Arabidopsis thaliana: one gene and its partners. The protein of the gene in region 1 interacts with the protein of each later gene in a biochemical or structural test. Each region holds a gene or a part of one and is shown on either strand. Other genes may lie near its edges. The genes, in order: AT2G43160, delta-ADR and AT3G08530.

Region 1 (7,795 bases):
GAACTTGAAGCAATTGATGGACGATGCAGCAGATGAGGTCGGAGGGAAAATTTTGTTAGATTTTAAAGACACTGCAGGTGACAGAATCCAAGTCTTTCTAGAATGACACACACCTAGTGAAGAAAAAGTAAATACAGCCGGGAAACATTTAAAAAGAGAATACAAAAATGTAAAGATTTTATTTGTTCCGTGAATGAGAAATGTATTACACATCTTCAAAATAAAGAAATAGAAGTGAATGTGTATATATCAAATTATATGCATATAACAAAAAAAGGGCAGACCCGAGCAAGGTTTGCCACTCTCACACTGGTACAAATTTCACAACAAGCTCTCAATTTGGTCCAAACCAGAAAAAAATAAAAATGAATGATGAGTGACGAGTAAGGCAAGAACAAACAGAGAAGAAAATTCGTGGAGCCGTGTTGCCTGGATGAATAATGTAACCTGAGTACTTTTATCGACTGATATTACATATCCCAGAGTAAAGAAAAAGCACAGGCGAGCGTATTCTTGATTACACGAATGAAGTCAAGTGCATCATGTTTGGCTTGATCTTACCGGTATCCACCACCATAGGATTGTTGAGGGTTGTAACCACCTTGACCCATCATCGGATTGTAGTTATTGCCAGGCATGTTTGGGCTAGGTACCATCCCTGGGTTTTGTGGTTGCATCGGATAGCCTTGGCCATATCCTCCCATGTTCATGTTCATGTTCATGCCGGGTCCCATTCCCATACCCATCGGTTGGTTTTGGTTCATTCCGGCCCCCATACCCATACCCATGGGTTGGTTCTGGTTCATACCTCCGTAGCTACCAACACCCATTCCTCCGCCCATGGGCATGCCAGAGCCTGTCATTGGATTAGGTGGAGGTCTCATAGCAGTTGCACCAGAACGCCCTAAGCCAGTGCCTGATCCCATGGCTTTACCCATATTGATAGTCGATGTTGCTGGTGTGTTTGTTTGTTTCTCCAGCCGTTTCTCTCTCCTGTTGATCGCCTCGAAGTCAACTCCTATGTCTGCCAATGGATTTGTTTTAGCTGCGATAAGTAGAAAAACAAAAACAATGTTAGAAAGTTTGCTAAAGACGTTTTTTTTTCCTTAAATGGTATGGTGAAATCTATCTTACATCCAGATATGTTAAAGTTAACAAGCCCCCTGCTCAACGTGTCTGCCCAGACTGATGATTTTGGCTCAAACTTTTTCTGAGGCGGAGGAACAATCTCAATTGCTCCTGTTAAAGGTGTGAGATCTGGATGAGATGATGATGACGTCAAGGAGTTGGGCGTAGCTTGCGAGAACATGTCTCCCATGACATTGTTGTTCCCTTGCAGAGTAACAGGTCCGGATTGAGTTCGTTGTGGACCATGGGATGGCGGCATTCCATGACCTTGGTGTGCCATGAACTGACCAGCTGGTCCACTTGGGGTAGAGTAAGGAGTTTGTGAGCCCGGCTGGTGCATGAAGCCTCCACTATTAAATGGCATGGCTCCAGTCATATTTTGAGAATGAGGAACCATGTTATATGGTTGAACAGCTTGTCCAAATGGAGTTTGTCCAGGCAGGTTTGGAGCTGTAGATACCGGCGGCTGAGAATGAAATCCCTCGTACATGTTGTTTCCACTGGGAGGAAATTGAGATGTTGGTATTGAGGGACCCGATTGTACTGGAGGTCCAGATGGTGGGAGAATGCCAGCGAGGATATCAATACCACTCTGAGATGTAGCAAATTGCTCTTGAGGAAAACCTGGTGAGTTCGATGGAGGTTGCACATTCTGAGAAGCAGGATCAGGATTGGCAACGGCGGAAAATGAGTCCCCAAAGCCAAAGTTATGAGCAGTATCAGGATGTGAGACCTCTGAAGTGAAGGCTGGAGGTGGTGGCTGGAAAGAAGCTCCAAAATTCTGCTGTGGGGTTGAGTCGGTGTCAGTAGAAGTGAAGGCCTTGAAAGGAGAGTCACCAAATGGGTCATCAAATGACTGCATAATCCAAACAACAGTCATCAATAATCATAGGAAACCATCATAATCTTCATACTCCAAGCTCAGTGTATATACCTGAGTTGATGGCTGAGATGTAGAAAACGATGGAGCTGGACCAGCGTTTGCTTGTCCATTGGTTTCAACATAGATAGAATCAGCTGGTACAATGGCCAATGCGTTTGATGAAAATACGTCTGCAAGGGAACCAAGCAAGTCCATCTCAACACTGTTTGAGGTGGTAGGGGCAGACATAGAAGTCACAGTTGGAGGAGCTGTAACACCATCTGTAGATGCATATGCTGGAGGGCCAGCTGGAAAAGTAAAGGAACACAACGGCCACACTCAGAACAAGCAGAGTTTAATGGGATAGAAATATACCATACAGACATGAGAATACAATCATACACCCTCCAACTAAGCCTTGAAACATTTACTGAATTAGTTATAGTTATTGATTAAAGATTTTCATGTAATCTCTATGCTGCCGAGGAGTTTGAAAAACTAAGAAAATATCTCAAGATACAACTAAAGAATTGCAAGAGTTTGAGTATTCTGTACCTGAAAACGCACTGCGTGGATCAAATTCATCGAAAGTCTCAACTTTCTGAGAAGGTGATTCATTAACAAAAGTAGCAGTTGTATTGGCTGTGTTGGTTCCAGTTGGAGGAGAAGCAGCCTCTGGAGCAGCAACTTGTGGGGGAGGAGGAGAAGCAGCTCCTGGAGCGGTAACTTGTGGGGTCTCCCCACCATCCCTGGCATAGAAAGATTCATCAGCACCAATAAAAACCAAGGTAGCTTTCAATTTTCAAAGCAGAAAATGATCACCTTTCACTATATACAGGGCTGCGTGAATCACTGACAGCTTCTTCATAACTGGGTGGAGCGCCAATATTTTGTTCAGAAAACTTCCTCTGGAGCCCCCCTCTACCATTATAATCCCGAAAGAAGGTGAGATGAGTTGTCATACAATAAAAGAATGCCTAAACTTCAGTAGAAATTTATCAGAAATTACCTCCCATCCTGAGAATTATCATCAGCTCGAGCACCACTGCCCCTACAGGACAAAAAGGAGTGTATCCATTTAAAATTTGAAAATGGAACTAGACTAAGAAGATTGCGGTTCGAAATGATTTTTAAAATCAAGGACATCTACGCTAGTATTCAAAATAAAAATATTCTATCCAAATGGAGTTGATAATCTTCAAAATTTTCCCCTTCCTTTTTTATTTCAGGATTTAGGCGACTTGAAATTTAACATACCGTGATGAAGAATGGCCATCATCCTCCCGCTCTCTTTCCGAACTCCTACCTCGTGACCCATAGTTATCAACACTTCTGCTCCTTCCCCTGTAATCATCATCCCTATTACCATCTCTCCCATACCGGTCTTCAGAGTCCCTGGAATGACGATCTCCATCACGACTATTTCTATCATCATCTCTGTAACCATATTCTCTTTCTCTTCCATAACTACTTCGCTCTTCATCCCGGCTTCCGTAATCATATTTATCCCCATATCCGCCTGAAGGCTTATACATCCCACCTGGTGCTGAGCTGCGATACCTGTTGTAAAATAATGTAGGTTGATATGTTCAGCATATTTTGAATGAACCAAAAGACATGTCATTTTTTTTTCTCGAGATAAAAACTTTCAAAATTCAGAAGCTAATACAGTTAAAGTGCCAGTACTACCAATTAATAGACTACCGAGAAGCATAATAACAATTGTAAGCCACTAGCAACAAGAAATCAAACGAGTGTCCACCGAGACTCACACAGAGAGAAAACTATCCACCAGTTCCAGAAAGATACAATGACAAGCAAACTTACTTATCTCTATTAGCAGCAGCCTTCTGTCTGACTTCAGCTATTCTTTCCTTGTCATTCACCAAAGCCACCAGGCTCTGTGATTTCTTCCTAACATTGCTTCCTTGATCTCTACCACCGGAATCAATATACTGAAAATCGGACAATGTCTGCCACAAGGAAAATAGACATATATACAAGTAAGATAGTCAACTACTGAGATATAGCACTAAAGGATTCTCTTGATGTTGAATACTTCCAAAATAATGTACTCAAGGTAGTCATTACCGAAATTTGATATGCACGTTCTCTAATCTCGTCTATAACACGTTCTGATCCATGGCCTACCATGTACTCCAAAACTGTCAAAGCCTGAAGGGGAGAGAGAAGAGGTAAACAGCATGAAATACTTTAGTCACTGCTACAGAAATTCAACACAAATTAAGCCAGCAAGACAATAATATTGTTTACCTTATAGACATGCCGCCAGTTTTTTCCGGTGTCGCTAAGGCGTTTCCATATGACCACCATGATCAGCTGATATTCATGACTGAAATAGAAGTAACATGTTTTTATAATTCCTGTGCAATGTCCAAAATCGCAGCAAAATATAGCAAGTTGGAAGGTGGTCGTAGTTACTAATTTCTGGAAGCTTGCGCAAGATCAGCAAGAAGTGATCCATGTGGACCCCATGGCTCATTACTAGTAGCATCTAGAACCTGAATAAGAGAAAGCACAGACAAAACAAGATAAGAGAAAGTTGGATATCTCGCTTTACATTGTTTAGCAAGACGATGAATGCAACCAAGATAAGCTCTCTATTTATAAAAGCCTTTTAGAAACAAATAAAGAAATTGATAAACTCAAGCATAAAAATGGAAAACAGTATCTAAATCTCTGCTGCGGAAGAATTTCTGATAAGAAGAAAAAGAGAGAAGAAGCTAAGAGCATCCATTACCTTCTGTTCTACTCCAGGAACTTTGAGCACTTTCTTGTTGACCTCTCTCTTACTGAATAAATGGAACATAAAATGAAGCATCCCGTCAATGAAAAAAGAAATAAACCACACACAGATTGAGAATATCATTAAATTTCGGGTACGAAAATACTTACAGGTCTCTAACAGTTTGTCCGAAGACTTTCTTCATCTTCGTATGTGTTCCAGGAACAAGAGTATCTTAAACAAATGTCACCTTCTATGGAGTCTGTTGTATAACTAGTATGAGCAGCTTATCTATTAACGTTTCAAACAAAGATATATATATATATCACCACAAATGTATAGATAGAACAAAAAGAAACAAACGAATCATTCTTCATCATAATCTCATTTCAATTACACAATCGTAAGAGCCAGATACATGGAATTGAGGAACGGCAACAAAGCAATCAGCAATGATCGAATTTGTCTTTGTTCAGATTCACCCTAAAACAATCTCAAGGAAGTGGAAAAAATCCCCAGCTCGTAACAAAATTTCCGAATTTTGCAACAATTAAAGGATATAAAGAAGAAGTCAAAATCAACAAAATCCGACTCCTAAGCAGACTAAAAATTCAAACGGTAACAATCAAAATCGAATAAAAAGGAAGATTCACATTCAAAAACGCAGCTCACACAGATCTTAAAGCTAATAACATCCCTCCACAAAATAGAATCACATCGAACAAGATAAAAAAATCAACCGGAAATTTAAAAATGGAAACAATAGATCCAGAAAAAGAATAATGAACATGAAAGAACAAAAAGAGCTAAGATCGTACCTGCAGAAATGTAAAATTTGACCAGAATCGGATCGTGGATCTGTCAAGGCACAGATAATAAAAGGAAGAAGACGAAGAAGAAACACTTTTGAAGGCTTTTGAAGGTGGAGGAGATTGATCGTGGATCTGCGTTTAGCTTTCGCACTTTGCCTCCTCTCTCTACAAAAATTCTCGAGTTTAGAGAGAGAGAGAGAGGAAAACAGCAGCCAGAAGAGAAAATTCAACAGATAAAATAAATAAATAAAAATGAAATAGTGAAAAAAAAAAAGAATAATACAAATAAGACAGCGCAACTAAACACGGAGAATATTATTAAGGCGCTCCAAATCAATATAATGTTTGGATTTGAAAAATCACAGCTGTTTAATTGAGAACAACATAATTATTACTTTGGTCTAACCAGTTTTATAAAGTTTCTATTCTCATATACAGTTTGGAAATGAGAAGATACAATATGCTTTATTCCAAAACTTTTGTTGGGACAAAATTGCTTTATGTCTAGTGGAGTTGGAAGCTACTAGACCTAATACTATATATTTCAGTACTGTTGAAATCAAATTAATTTATCAAAATTGTGTTTATTAGCTTCATTGAATTTCACTTCATCATTATCAAATTAATTTATCAAAATCAACTTAAGCATAACGATAAAGTTTGGAAGGTGTCGTTGCCAAACAACAAACAAAATGACGGTGACAAAAAAATTGGAGGCAAATTACCAAATACGTTTAGCCAATGGGCCTCAAAATCAGCTAATGCTATCCCAAAGCCCAAAGTACAACCACTCCACTTATTTCGAACCAATTCTTCAGCACTTGCTGCTTTTCATTTGCTTTTGTTTGGTTCCATGTTTCGATTAAATAGAAGAATATAAACTATAACTTTGATATTAATTCATTTCAACATTCTTTAATTTTAGTCAATGGTTTTGTATTAAGCATATAGTATTGCTCAATATTTTTTTTTTTTAAGGTTGAAACAAAAAGAGTAGGTGGAAATTAGTTGAATGAAAGTGAGTCTCTGACGTATTACATAAACACAATTATTAATGATCCAATGAGATCAAAGTGATGTGTTACTTCCACTTTCCCACCTTTTGAAGCAATGATAACTTTCTCTGGACGAACAGATCGAAACAATGTCGTGCCCAACCTAAAAGAATATGTCTTTTAACTTTGTCATTGGAACTACTTTTGTCGTTGGAACTATGTTTTAAGATAGAAAATGTTATGACTGTATATCGCATAATCCAAAGAAAGAAGAAACTGAACTTTGTTTTATATGCTAACAACTCTTTCATTACATTAACGGAAGAATAACAAAATAGAAAATGTATGCACAACAATTAAATTACCAAAACCCATTTTTTCACTTAACAACAAAAGGGAACAAAGAGGAGTATGATACGATCTAAAAGGGTCTTGGAAACAATTTGACTTGACGAAGACGCAAAGATAATGATGCACAAGTGGAAGATGAGCGACATTGAAGAAGAGGAAGTGATGTGGATCGTTGTTAGAGATGTTTTGTTTCTGATTTCCACGCCACGATCCTTATTTGGTTCACTTCTTCTTCTCTTTGACTTTGACCCTTCCTTTATTTCATTTTTTAAAAGAAAACCTGTGAAAGAAGAAATTCCGATTTTATTTAGGGCACAATTATTAAAACGGATTATGAGGTAAAGGTATAAGTATAGGACTTACTTGAATAATGGGGAAATTTTGTTGAATTTGATGAGCCTAGTAATGTGTGGGAGGTGGGGGAGAAGCGTAGATGTAGACAGGAGGTGGGGGAGATTTTACCGGTGGTGGTGGAGAGCTGTAAAGGTATGGTGGTGGTGGGGATTTCACCGGAGGAGGTGGGGAGTGGTAATAATATGGAGGAGGAGGAGATTTCACAGGAGGAGGAGGTGAATGGTAGTAGTATGGTGGTGGTGGGGATTTCACCGGAGGAGGTGGTGAATGGTAGTAATATGGTGGTGGTGGGGATTTCACCGGAGGAGGTGGTGAATGGTAGTAGTATGGAGGAGGAGGAGACTTCACCGGAGGAGGCGGTGAATGGTAGTAGTATGGGGGAGGAGGGGACTTCACCGGAGGAGGAGGAGAGCTGTAAACATAAGGAGGGGGAGGGGATTTCACTGGCGGCGGCGGTGAATGATAGTAATACGGTGGTGGAGGAGACTTAACCGGAGGTGGTGGTGATTTATATTCATAAGGCGGTGGAGGAGATTTAACCGGAGGA
Region 2 (5,763 bases), on another chromosome or scaffold:
AAGCTTTGTCTTCAGTGAAAACATATAAATTTATTTCGTATGAGACGAATCAATTGTTGCTTGTTGTCCTAGCATGGATCACTCTAATTAGTAGTAATGAGGTTTTGCTAAAAGTAACAAGATCAGTTGAAGCAAACAAAGATGTTTTTAGTGTTGTTGTTTTTTTGGACAAAGATGTTTTTAGTGTTTAGCTTTGGTTATTGTGGTACAATGGTAAGTCTTGATCTTTGGAGTTATTGTTTTAAGTCGTAGCTTTTATTCTCTCTTTATAGCTTTTTTTTAGCTTAGTATCCGGAGATAAATTTGTCTTTCACCGGCTTAGTTTTTGGAAGGGTTTGATCCTTGCCGGCTTCATGTATCAAAATACTATCCCACCGTTGTAAGTTGTAATCCTCAATGGCTCAATGAATGATAATAAATAAAGTTAACTCTTTCAAGTGATAAAAAAAAAGAAAAGAAGAAAGCTTTTATCACACTTTCTATCCCCTATAAATAGAAGGGATGGCTTGAAGACACATACTGAAAACAGAACAAACACAAACACAAACAGAGAATCAACGAAGAAGAAAAATGGTGAAGGTGATGTGGGTTTCCGTTTTAGCTCTGGCGGCGGCGATTCTCCTTTTGACGGTCCCGGTGGCAGAAGGGGTGACGTGCTCGCCTATGCAGCTGGCTTCATGTGCGGCGGCGATGACGTCATCGTCGCCGCCATCGGAGGCGTGTTGCACAAAGCTGAGAGAGCAGCAGCCATGCCTTTGTGGGTACATGAGGAACCCTACCCTCCGCCAATACGTTAGCTCCCCTAACGCAAGGAAAGTCTCCAACAGTTGCAAGATTCCTTCCCCAAGCTGTTAAGGAAATGTTAATCATGATTAATTAGTGACAAGTTTCGCTGATTATAGTGGTTAATGCTGGTCTTATCTTCGTCACTACTATTTAGAATAATAAATGAAGTGATGATGATTGATGATTGATGATTGATGATTATCATCATCATGCTTGAATGTTATGTTTTCTATCTTATAAAATATGAAATATACTTTAGAAATATGTTTCGTCGGATCTCTCTTATAAATTATGACAGAAACCAAGAAACCAATACATGAAAGTCTATACACAAAAAGAATTACACAAGACATTTTGTTTGGTTTCTGTATGAACAAAGACATATTTTAAAAGAACACAAACTGATTTTTCACTCCATCACAAGAGAAAATCTGGAATTATAACTTGTTCTGAAGCAGAAGCTACTTCATTTTGCCGTCGTGATTTGTGCTTACTACTTCCCTCTCCCTTCTTCTTCTTTTTCTTCTTCTTCTTCTTCTCTGAGTTCTGATGATTTTCTATCCTCGAGCTCTCTTCTTTTTCCTGTTGTCCTGAATTCGGATTTCCCTCGTACCTATCTTTTTCTTTTCCCTTGTTCTTTACCAGAAGAGCGCTTTGGATCGCTCGGGACAAAGATTCATCATCATTAGCAGTCTGTATATTTGTTTTTGCTTGAGGAGTGATTCTTGATTCATCTCCATCGTCTAGTTTCACCACTACAGGCCGTGGTTTAGATTGGTTTGGCTTTCTCTTGGGGTTAAATGAATCCTGGGATATCTCGTTTGCTAATTCATTTGCCAGAGGATAATCGCTTGACGTGCCGTTGCTATCTTGATCCTCCTTTTGAGAAGTAAGATAATACATTCCATGGCGTTTACGGTGTTCAGCTAGCAGAGATGAAGCTTCATGTGGAGGAGATGAAGATGAAGTGGCTTCTTGTTGATCTCTGATTCTGAGTTTGGAGACAGAGAAGCTGATCTTGTCTGTGTATGAAACCGAATCCGATTCCACGGGTTTAAGATGTTCCCCACAGATCTCCTCCAGATCCCCGAGATTCTCTTTCAGCTCTAACCCATCCGGTACACAAACCTTTTCTTGTGCAGTTGCAGAAATAGGACCAAACTCTTCTGAGAACACATCTTCCATGAATGCTGTAACTCTAGAAGCTTCTGTTTCGTTGTCTTGGAGATTTAATTGCTCAGCTATTTCTTGCTTTATCACACTGATGTATCCTAAAACATTCTTAGCTCTCTCCTGCACTTCCACATCATGGTATCCAGATAAAGGCCCCAAACCAAGCTCAATCACATTCACCAGACTCAATATAGATTCATGTGTGAAAACATTCACCAACAAAGAGCCAGAACTTGATTCCTGAGCCAAGGATGACGAAGTGGGTTCCTGGGACGAGAAGTAAGACCCCAGACAGAAGACAAGAACTTTGAAAGCTGAATGTATATAGATAGCTTTTATGGAGGGGGGTAAGAGATCAGTTCGTGGTTGCAGAAGCGCCTCCACAGTTTCATACGGATTCTTAGAGAACTCAACGTATTCACCTGAAACCCACGCAGCTGCAGATAGTATAGGGTGTAAGAACAAGTTACCGAGCAATGCAGGATCAATGAGCAGTGCCCAAGAAACACGGACTAGCTGTGGTCTAGCATCTCTGACCCTCATACCGATATCGATCAACTGATGCTCAATATCTTCCCCTCTTTGACAATGTGGGATTCTAGCCATTTCACCAAGAAGAGACAAATACCAATCAAAGTCAACTATGATCTCATATGCATTCCTGGAGCATGCCGATAAGACAGAAAAAATAATCTCATTGCAGAACAAAGGGTCTGACTTGAGTGCATAATTCATAAGAATCCTGGAGATTTCCGACACATTATCTTCATTCACCATTGCCATTAAGAGATGCAATGCCTCGAGTTTAACATTTGGATCCTCATCGCTCATAGCCTTGACGACTACCTCTTTGTTCTCCAAAACTGCCCACAAATGCTTAGGAGCAACAATCGACAAGGCGTTAAGACCGAGATACTTAAGATTTGGATCATCTTCCACCAGAAACTCCCGGATCTTTGCAACAGCAAGTTTCACAGCCGCTTCGTTATCACTCAAGCTACTCACCACGGTTCGAACACACTCAAAAACCAGAGACTTTGCCACAGTCCTCCTCATATGTTCACAAATCGGCTCAGCAACCTTCTTACCCAATCTCGGTTCAATCAAGGCCAACTTAGCAAATATCTTAAGAACCTTGATCAGAACCCAATTATTCCTTGAATCAACCAATACTTTATAGAACTCAGGAGCTAAAGGAAGACAAGACTGAGGATCCTTTGTAGCAAGCTCACAGAACACTCCAACTACAGCAGACAGAATCTGCGGATCAGAGGTTTCAAGATTCTCAACTAGACGTTTAAAACACACCTTAACAGCATCATGATACTTCTCAAAAACCCTCAAAACCACACCAATTGCTTTCTTCTTCACGAAAGATTTACTACTACCCAGGAGAGTAAACACTTCAGGAGTCAAATCTCTAGCTAGGTCATGAGTTCCGATCCTAGACAAACATTCCAAAGCTAGACTAACCTCGTATTCATTAGCACTATTCAAATCCTTTCTCACCTGGTTAGTGATCAGAAGCATAACCGAGGTCTGATCGTTGAATGATTGAGTAATTGCTTGGTAACCGATCCTCTTGTGTTGGAATCGTGAAGAAGACACGACTTCTACGGCGTGAAACGCGGCCCAAGACATGTCGACGCCGTGAAGTGCGGCGAGGTAAGAGAGCTTGTGAAGAGCGGTGGATTTAGTTGAGAGATCTGTGGCTTTGATCTCGCGGCGGATTTCTTCAACGGCTCTAGAAATGAAATTGGATTCTCCGAGAAGCTGGAGACGAAAGCCTTTGATTAGATCCTCGAGACTTCGTTGGAACAAGTTGTCCATTATAGAAGTGGAAGACGACGACATTGATGATTCTCGTGGTTTTGAAGAGATCCTTCTTAGTGGTTAGGTCTTAAAACTGTAGTTGGAAATTGAAAGGAGCCATCAATTGATGTTGGGAAGATGAGATTCCGAGGGCTTTTCAAGCTGATCGGCGTTGCCCAAACTCGCGATCTCATCGGAGAGGGAAGAAGGAAGTAAGGCAAGAAAAAGGGCTTTGTGGGCTTTAATGGCTTATTGAGTTTGTGGGCTTTTTTATAGTAGAAACTAGTGGGCCTTAATGAATTTAATGACATATTTTCCAACATTTGGAAAATGAAGAAATTATATGTATGCGTTTGTCAAATCTAAAATTAATCATGTGAATTTCAATGCAAAAATTTGATGTTGCATTTTGTGTAATGATAGTTTGGAATTTGGATACAAAACTATTATATAAATTCAAAGATATTTCAACTATATTATTAATCAGGTCATAGTTTTTATAGATGTATTTTTATTTTACGTTAAAATAGATTTTTGCATTAAAGTTGTGGTAATTTCATTTTTTTATAATTTAAAAAACTATTAAACTCTATTTTTGGCGCTAAATTTACATCTTCGAAACATATCGACTAATTTAGATAGTGTCACTTCTCTACATGAAGGAAGATGTTATATTATATTACAATGGTTTTGCTAAATAATTCAAACATTTCAAAAAAAAAAAAAAAAAAATCAGCCCCAAGTGTCCAACATGTAAATACATTTCATATTTTATATATAAAAAAAACTCGTAAATTAGGATTAATTGAAATATTAAGAATATATCAATTTTTAGTGCTTATCACTTCTATTTTTTTTTTGTTATTTTCCTTTTACAAGTTGGTTTTTGTGTTCTATATATAAATCGCACAACGTTACAAATAATTTCGACAATGGAAAAAAAAGAAGGAAAACGAATAAAATAACTCTGAGAATAAGTACGGGAAAAAAAAACTTTGAACTGCTCTCTCTCTCTCGAAGCTCTCAACAAAAAAAATCGAAGAAGAAGAAGAAGAAGACGTAACAATGGAGCCTCCTTTTGAAAGATCGAAACGTCTCCACAACTTCTCTTTGCCTCAACTCCGTTGGGGTCAACAAAGATTCCTCAGATGCGTCAATCTACCATCTCCTCCTCCTTCTTCTTCCTCTCCCGATCACGCAGCCACCAATAGATCCGTCTCCATAGCTGGAGTTTCTCTTACAAGAGGAGGAGGAGGAGGAGCGAAGAACGGGGAGGTAGTTGCGGCGGCTAAGCCATGGAATTTGAGGATGAGAAGAGCTGCGTGTAGTGAACCTGGAGAAGAAATTGAAATTGGCGTTAATAAGAGAAGAAGTATCATCGATAATGAAGATGGAGGAGGAGATAAGAAGAATGAGAAATCGAAATTCTCTATTGCGTTGTCGAGAGATGAAATTGAACAAGATTTCTCCTTTGTTTTTGGGAAAAAACCTCCCAAGAGACCTAAGAAGAGACCAAGGCTTGTTCAGAAGAAATTGAATGTAAGTTAACAATCTTCTCTTGTTTAATTTTTGGTTGCTTGATTTTTTTTTTGGATGATTGCTAAATTGTGTTCTTGTGTTTGTTTTTGCAGACGATTTTTCCAGGATTGTGGTTGAATGAAGAAGAAGTGACGATTGATTCGTATAATGGAGCTTAGGAAACAACATGAAAGGTTTTTACTCTGTAGGATAATATGTATCTCTCTGTTCTTGTTCTACTCTTTGAGACATTCTCAAGTTTAGCAATTTTTCTGGTTTCTGATCCTTTGTTGTTATTGTTGTAAAGCAGATTACTGGGAATCTTATCATTCATTCACTAATTGTAATCTCCAGCTGTTTGTTCTTTTAGTAATGCAGTTGCTTCAATATTGTTTCTCTCTTCTTGTTCTACTTTGAGACCTTCTCAAGTTTAGCTATGTTTAGTTTAGTTAAGAAATTCTTCACCAGTCTAAT
Region 3 (4,978 bases), on another chromosome or scaffold:
AGAAAGGTTTATCGTCACAACACACCATAGGAGACATATCACACATTTTGAATAAAATCGTCCATTTCAAGATTACCTTCACAAGGTCTCCAAGTTCTTCACTGCATTCTAGTTTATCCTCTGCCAACCAGTTTTCCAGGAGGTTCTTCTTGTTTTGGTTCACAACCAGCCGAGATAGTTCCAGTGACTCATATGAATTGAGTTTCCCTCTAGTCAAAAGAGTCCCAAAATACTGTAACAATGGAGGAGTTTGTCCAGCTTGTACAGGAACACTCTGCAAAATTATAGAGTTGAAAAATTGGTGTTACCAACATTTCATCATAAATAAACATGTTTACACATAGTTGCTTGGATATGAAATAGACACCTGGAATTTGGCCACTGTATCAGGTGTCCTTAGAATTCCTTGAGGAGATTCAGCAGCAAGCTCAGCAGCCTCCTTGTACTTTGTTTGAGCGAACAACTCCTGGAACCGCTGGACAACCTACAACATCCGAGCAGAATATGAGAAACTTCACAATACCAAATGACATTTTTTTTCTTCAAGCTGCCATTTAACAACTATATAATTACTTCACCGAGACAACAGATCCATGATAAACATCGCATACCAGATTTTCTGCACCTGGGAGGTTTCCTCTTTTAGCAAGATTGACAGCAAGCTCCAAATTGTTCAACTGTGATACAAAAGCATAGATTTCTTAGCATGACATGATGAAAAGGGTAGGTTATAACGGGAAAATAGCATAAAAGATTAGCATACTTGGCCACTAATAAAAGGTATAATGGTAGCCTCGTTTACTGTAGCCAAAAGAACTTGTCCTCGCCTATTAATGGCATAGAAACCCCCAACTGAGGAAGCTTCAGAAGTCAAGAAAATTGGGTCTGGACTAATCCGATTTCTGTAGATAGCAGAAGCAGTCTCTAGATCGTACACAAACAACAGGCCAAGTTTGGTGATAACATATATCAAGTTAAATTTGTGAGAGACCTGTCAGGAAAATGAGAAATTAGTGCCAGAAATTGTCACTAACTACTTACACATATAACTGAAATTCTAATGCAATAGCAAACCTGCATGGCAACAGGAAAATCATCAGCAAAATCAGGGGGAAAAAAGAGATCTGCTTGTTTTTTTGTAAATGATGGTTTTCCTGCAAAAAAATCGCCAACCTTTAAAGATCAGATGAATACAACCTAGAAAACGTAACCAATTATATTAAATAACAGTGAAGATATAGTTTTGCGTCGGGGAGCTAACCAGGTTGGGCACCAAGCTCAATGACATGCAACTTTGATGTTATCTGCCCAGCATTAAAGCTCTTGCTTGCAAATGATATAAGAATAGAAGGATTCTCATTCCCAGGAACCTAATATTAATAGTGTTGCAAGTCAAACTACAGTTCAAGATTAGACCATAGATGAACTCACCAAAGAACAAAGACGTTACCTTAAACTGCGCAAACGATGCAGCATGTGCCTCAAGGGCCTGACTCCGCTGTTGATCCACAGAGAAAAGCTGCATATTTCCTTTTACCAATTGTTGTCTCTACAGAAAACAGATAATAATGACAAGATCAGTCAAGAATCTACAACATGAAAGCAGTTTTGATGTCTTTTTTTGACCTAATATGTGGCGCAGTAAACTTACCTCAGGAGAGCCAGGAGCAATTCCAATTAAAACCAACCACTTCTCATTAGGAGAGCACTTATAGTTTATAATTTGATTGTTGGCCAAATTGGCTGTTCTATCAAACATCTTAACTGGCTCAGAATCACCTATAAAACCCGAAGGAAAATTAGAAACGAAAACACAAGATATGAAGAAAATGACAGTAGGCTGAAATATACAACCTTCAATTGACCAATGATAGACGGAATTCTGTGTGACCAGCCCCAACATCTTTGGTGTAATCCACTTCCAAAAGACAACCTGTAAAAACATGAAACATTATTATCCAAAAAAAAACCCGACTGAAAAATTCAGAGTTATACGAAGTGTATAGCAGGAACGATAATGGAGTTCAAATATATTTGCATCAACACTCACCTGCTCAGGCATCTGATGTGATTTCAACTTTGCTTTGGCTTCAATGTTAAATATCTGTAGATGATCCTGAGTAGTTCCTGGAACTTGAGCTACATAAATATTGAAGTAAAAAGTGAACATCAAGATAAGTGGATTATGAACTACGAATTCGAGGAAACCGTTATGGGTTTTAGATCAAAGGAAAAAATCAAGTACCTTTCAAGGCAAGGATCTTCGAGTTTGGGTTCATAAGAGCAGAGTCTGCAGTAATAGGCCTCCTAAGAGGCTGCATCGGCATATTCATATCTATAATTACAACACTGTTTTGCGGTGACGTCTCTCGTACACAGATATACTTGTCAGACTCCATAGTAACATTTGTAAACGTGATGAATTGCTGATTGATCCCGATGCTCGGAAGCTGGAAAAATCAAGATGAAGCGTTACGTCAAATAGTTCATTTATTTAGTTATGAGATCCGAGTACATAAGCACATTGCTACAGACAACAACTTGAAATTCGGCATTGATATATTAACGAAACACAGATCTGAGCATAGTTAGAGAAATCTGATCAGAAACATGCATTCCCAAACAAGCGATCCGGAAAAACTAGAGAGTAACACAACGATCGAGCAGAATTCAGATCAGTAGGAAACTGGAATCAATCAATCAAGAGACTGAACAGAGCTTAATCGTAGAAAATCACGGTCGATTCCAGGAGATACACATCTAAATATTCAAAGATAAGAGTGAAGAGTAAGGAGAACTCACCGTCAGGACCTCCTTCATCGTGATGGGGGCGTTGGCAGCCGCCATGTTTGACCTCAGATCACAGCAAGAGTAAATCCGGGGACGGAATCAAATATACGGCTGAGAAGTCCTGACCGCCAATGGCCAGGAGATAGAACCGAGACGAGAGAAAGACTGGAGAAGAAATGAAATCGCTGCCAGATCTGAAGCAAGTGAACGAGAAAGGTGATGGAAAGAGAAAGAAAATTGAGAAAAGAAGAATAACAAATATATATGGGTAAGTAATGACGAACAGCGATCCAATTAGAGTCTTACATTTATAACCAGGTCCGGCCCATATCGGTCCTTACTGGGCTCTAAGCATCCGAATTTCTAATGAGACGACACGTGAAATATTTTAATTGGTGCTTTTAAATGAAGGTACCTTAGGTGAAACAACAATAAATGACTTAATAATTAAGATTTGATCCAAGAAAAAAACTTAATAATTAAGAATGGAAGAAGTGTCATGACTTTTAATAATTTTTTTTAAAAAACTTAATAATTAAAGATTTGATACAAGAAAAAAAAAACTTAATAATTAAGAATGGAAGAAGTGTCATGACTTAATAATTAGAAACAAAACTTAATTAATCTGATCCAAAAGAAGAAGGAATATTATGTCATAGAGTATCACTGATGATTGCAGGTTGCAATTGTATGTTGCATCAAGTCATCCGTCTTGGTTCCATTCAGTTTTCTGTGATGAAAGAGTCATTTCCCCTGGTTGAATTGGTTTTTTTTTTGTTATATGGCTCTGTTGTTTTGTATAGGTTATTGTTGTTATTAGCTTATAGTGGCTTAGTGTGTGGAGATTTGTTTCTCCCTGTGTAATTGCTTCTGTTCTTTGTGTTGGTACATGTTTCCAATCTATCAATTCAAATCCAGTTGAGAAAGATTAAGAAAAAAAATGGAAGAAAATCTCCCAATTTTTATACATAATAAAATGAGATGAATTGATAATCAATTAGATTTAGTTAGTAAAGTTTAATTTTACCGATGAGATCTCAGACGACCAAAACACGAAAATAAAATAAAAAGAAAGATCTCAGAATCGCGTCTTTCTTCTTCTTCTTCGTCTTCTTCCTCCGAAACTTTTTTTTGTTTTTCAAAGTGGTGGAGCTAACCATGAAATCGACTCACCATCACAGAGCTCCACTAATATCTGCTTCTTCCTCATCTTCATCTTCTTCCCAAAACCATTCATTCGTCTCTAGGCTCCTCCTTCTCCTTACTCTACTTCCAGTTTCCCTTGCTTGTCTCGCCTTTATCCTCCAATGGCGAGGCGGTGGTCTCGCCGATCCTGCCTCTGCTTCTGTTCGTTCCTCTACGTCGGTTCCTGGCGGCTCCGATCTCAATCACGAGGTCTTTCCCGGCATGGAGACTGTTTCATCTGTCTCCCCAAAGTCTCACCAATCCTCCTCCGACTGCTCAAATCTAGCTCGCAGCTCTTCTCCTTCTTTTCCTTACTATGCTGATTGGAAGTTTGGTGTTGATACTAGCTTAAAGCCTAAGGTTACTACTTTCAATTCCCCTGATTTCAAGTCTTTGGATCGATCTACACTTCCAAATTCCTTTTTTTTTTCTTAAATCTTACTACAATGTCTAATCTGAAATATCAAGTTGTTCTTTTTTTATTGGATTATAGAGATTTGAGAAATACCAAAGTTCATTTTTTGATCAGATCTGTCTTTGTAAAGTCACCTCACTTTTTGTGCTCCATGTTGTATATGATTCTTGACATTGTTACTGTTTACAGATATGTATCACGACTAGCACATCAGCTGGATTGGATCAGATTCTACCATGGATGTTCTACCATAAGGTTCTAGGCGTCTCAACATTCTTCCTTTTCGTTGAAGGGAAAGCTGCTACTCCGAGTATTTCTAAAGTGCTCGAGTCTATTCCTGTGAGTTGAACTACCTCTCTTCGCGTCCACTGTTTATTTTGTTTTGGCTGTATATCTCTAGCTCTTTAGTCCTGTAGGTATAAATTTGTATTTAAGGTATGCAGTTTTCGATAAATGTAGTCCCATGTCTCTTGCAGGGTGTTAAAGTAATATACAGGACGAAAGAGCTTGAGGAGAAGCAAGCGAAGAGGTTAGTTAGTTATCCCATTGCATATTTGCGACAAAGCTATAGCTCTTCAAGGCACTAAA

The links.
Region 2: the proteins of AT2G43160 (region 1) and delta-ADR form a complex in vitro, tested with the Arabidopsis thaliana proteins (one study listed by BioGRID).
Region 3: the proteins of AT2G43160 (region 1) and AT3G08530 form a complex in vitro, tested with the Arabidopsis thaliana proteins (one study listed by BioGRID).

What each region holds. Positions count from the first base shown.
Region 1 is NC_003071.7:17,946,030-17,953,824, reverse strand, and holds AT2G43160 (ENTH/VHS family protein), read right to left. Parts: upstream 6,026-7,795; 5' UTR 5,555-6,025; intron 5,473-5,554; exon of another isoform or gene 5,155-5,472; intron 5,028-5,154; exon of another isoform or gene 4,999-5,027; 5' UTR 4,942-4,998; coding exon 4,907-4,941; intron 4,804-4,906; coding exon 4,752-4,803; intron 4,513-4,751; coding exon 4,433-4,512; intron 4,344-4,432; coding exon 4,265-4,343; intron 4,166-4,264; coding exon 4,082-4,165; intron 3,964-4,081; coding exon 3,818-3,963; intron 3,551-3,817; coding exon 3,248-3,550; intron 3,042-3,247; coding exon 3,000-3,041; intron 2,912-2,999; coding exon 2,813-2,911; intron 2,740-2,812; coding exon 2,546-2,739; intron 2,299-2,545; coding exon 2,063-2,298; intron 1,985-2,062; coding exon 1,135-1,984; intron 1,046-1,134; coding exon 558-1,045; 3' UTR 156-557; downstream 1-155. Other genes in the region: AT2G43180 (Phosphoenolpyruvate carboxylase family protein), read left to right, coding at 1-106; AT2G43150 (Proline-rich extensin-like family protein), read right to left, coding at 7,294-7,795. UniProt on the Arabidopsis thaliana protein: May have a role in transport via clathrin-coated vesicles from the trans-Golgi network to endosomes. Stimulates clathrin assembly. Binds to membranes enriched in phosphatidylinositol 3-phosphate (PtdIns(3)P). Plays an important role in protein trafficking.
Region 2 is NC_003070.9:18,035,449-18,041,211, forward strand, and holds delta-ADR (delta-adaptin), read right to left. Parts: upstream 3,958-5,763; 5' UTR 3,814-3,957; coding exon 1,204-3,813; 3' UTR 856-1,203; coding exon of another isoform or gene 571-855; 3' UTR 519-570; downstream 1-518. Other genes in the region: AT1G48750 (Bifunctional inhibitor/lipid-transfer protein/seed storage 2S albumin superfamily protein), read left to right, coding at 571-855; AT1G48770 (hypothetical protein (DUF1639)), read left to right, coding at 4,837-5,310, 5,403-5,468. UniProt on the Arabidopsis thaliana protein: Part of the AP-3 complex, an adaptor-related complex which seems to be clathrin-associated. The complex is associated with the Golgi region as well as more peripheral structures.
Region 3 is NC_003074.8:2,592,565-2,597,542, forward strand, and holds the start of AT3G08530 (Clathrin, heavy chain), read right to left. Parts: upstream 3,091-4,978; 5' UTR 2,848-3,090; coding exon 2,803-2,847; intron 2,451-2,802; coding exon 2,246-2,450; intron 2,140-2,245; coding exon 2,051-2,139; intron 1,934-2,050; coding exon 1,855-1,933; intron 1,780-1,854; coding exon 1,652-1,779; intron 1,550-1,651; coding exon 1,451-1,549; intron 1,371-1,450; coding exon 1,262-1,370; intron 1,155-1,261; coding exon 1,075-1,154; intron 992-1,074; coding exon 764-991; intron 678-763; coding exon 612-677; intron 485-611; coding exon 368-484; intron 275-367; coding exon 77-274; intron 1-76. Other genes in the region: KOB1 (elongation defective 1 protein / ELD1 protein), read left to right, coding at 3,949-4,335, 4,580-4,729, 4,867-4,919.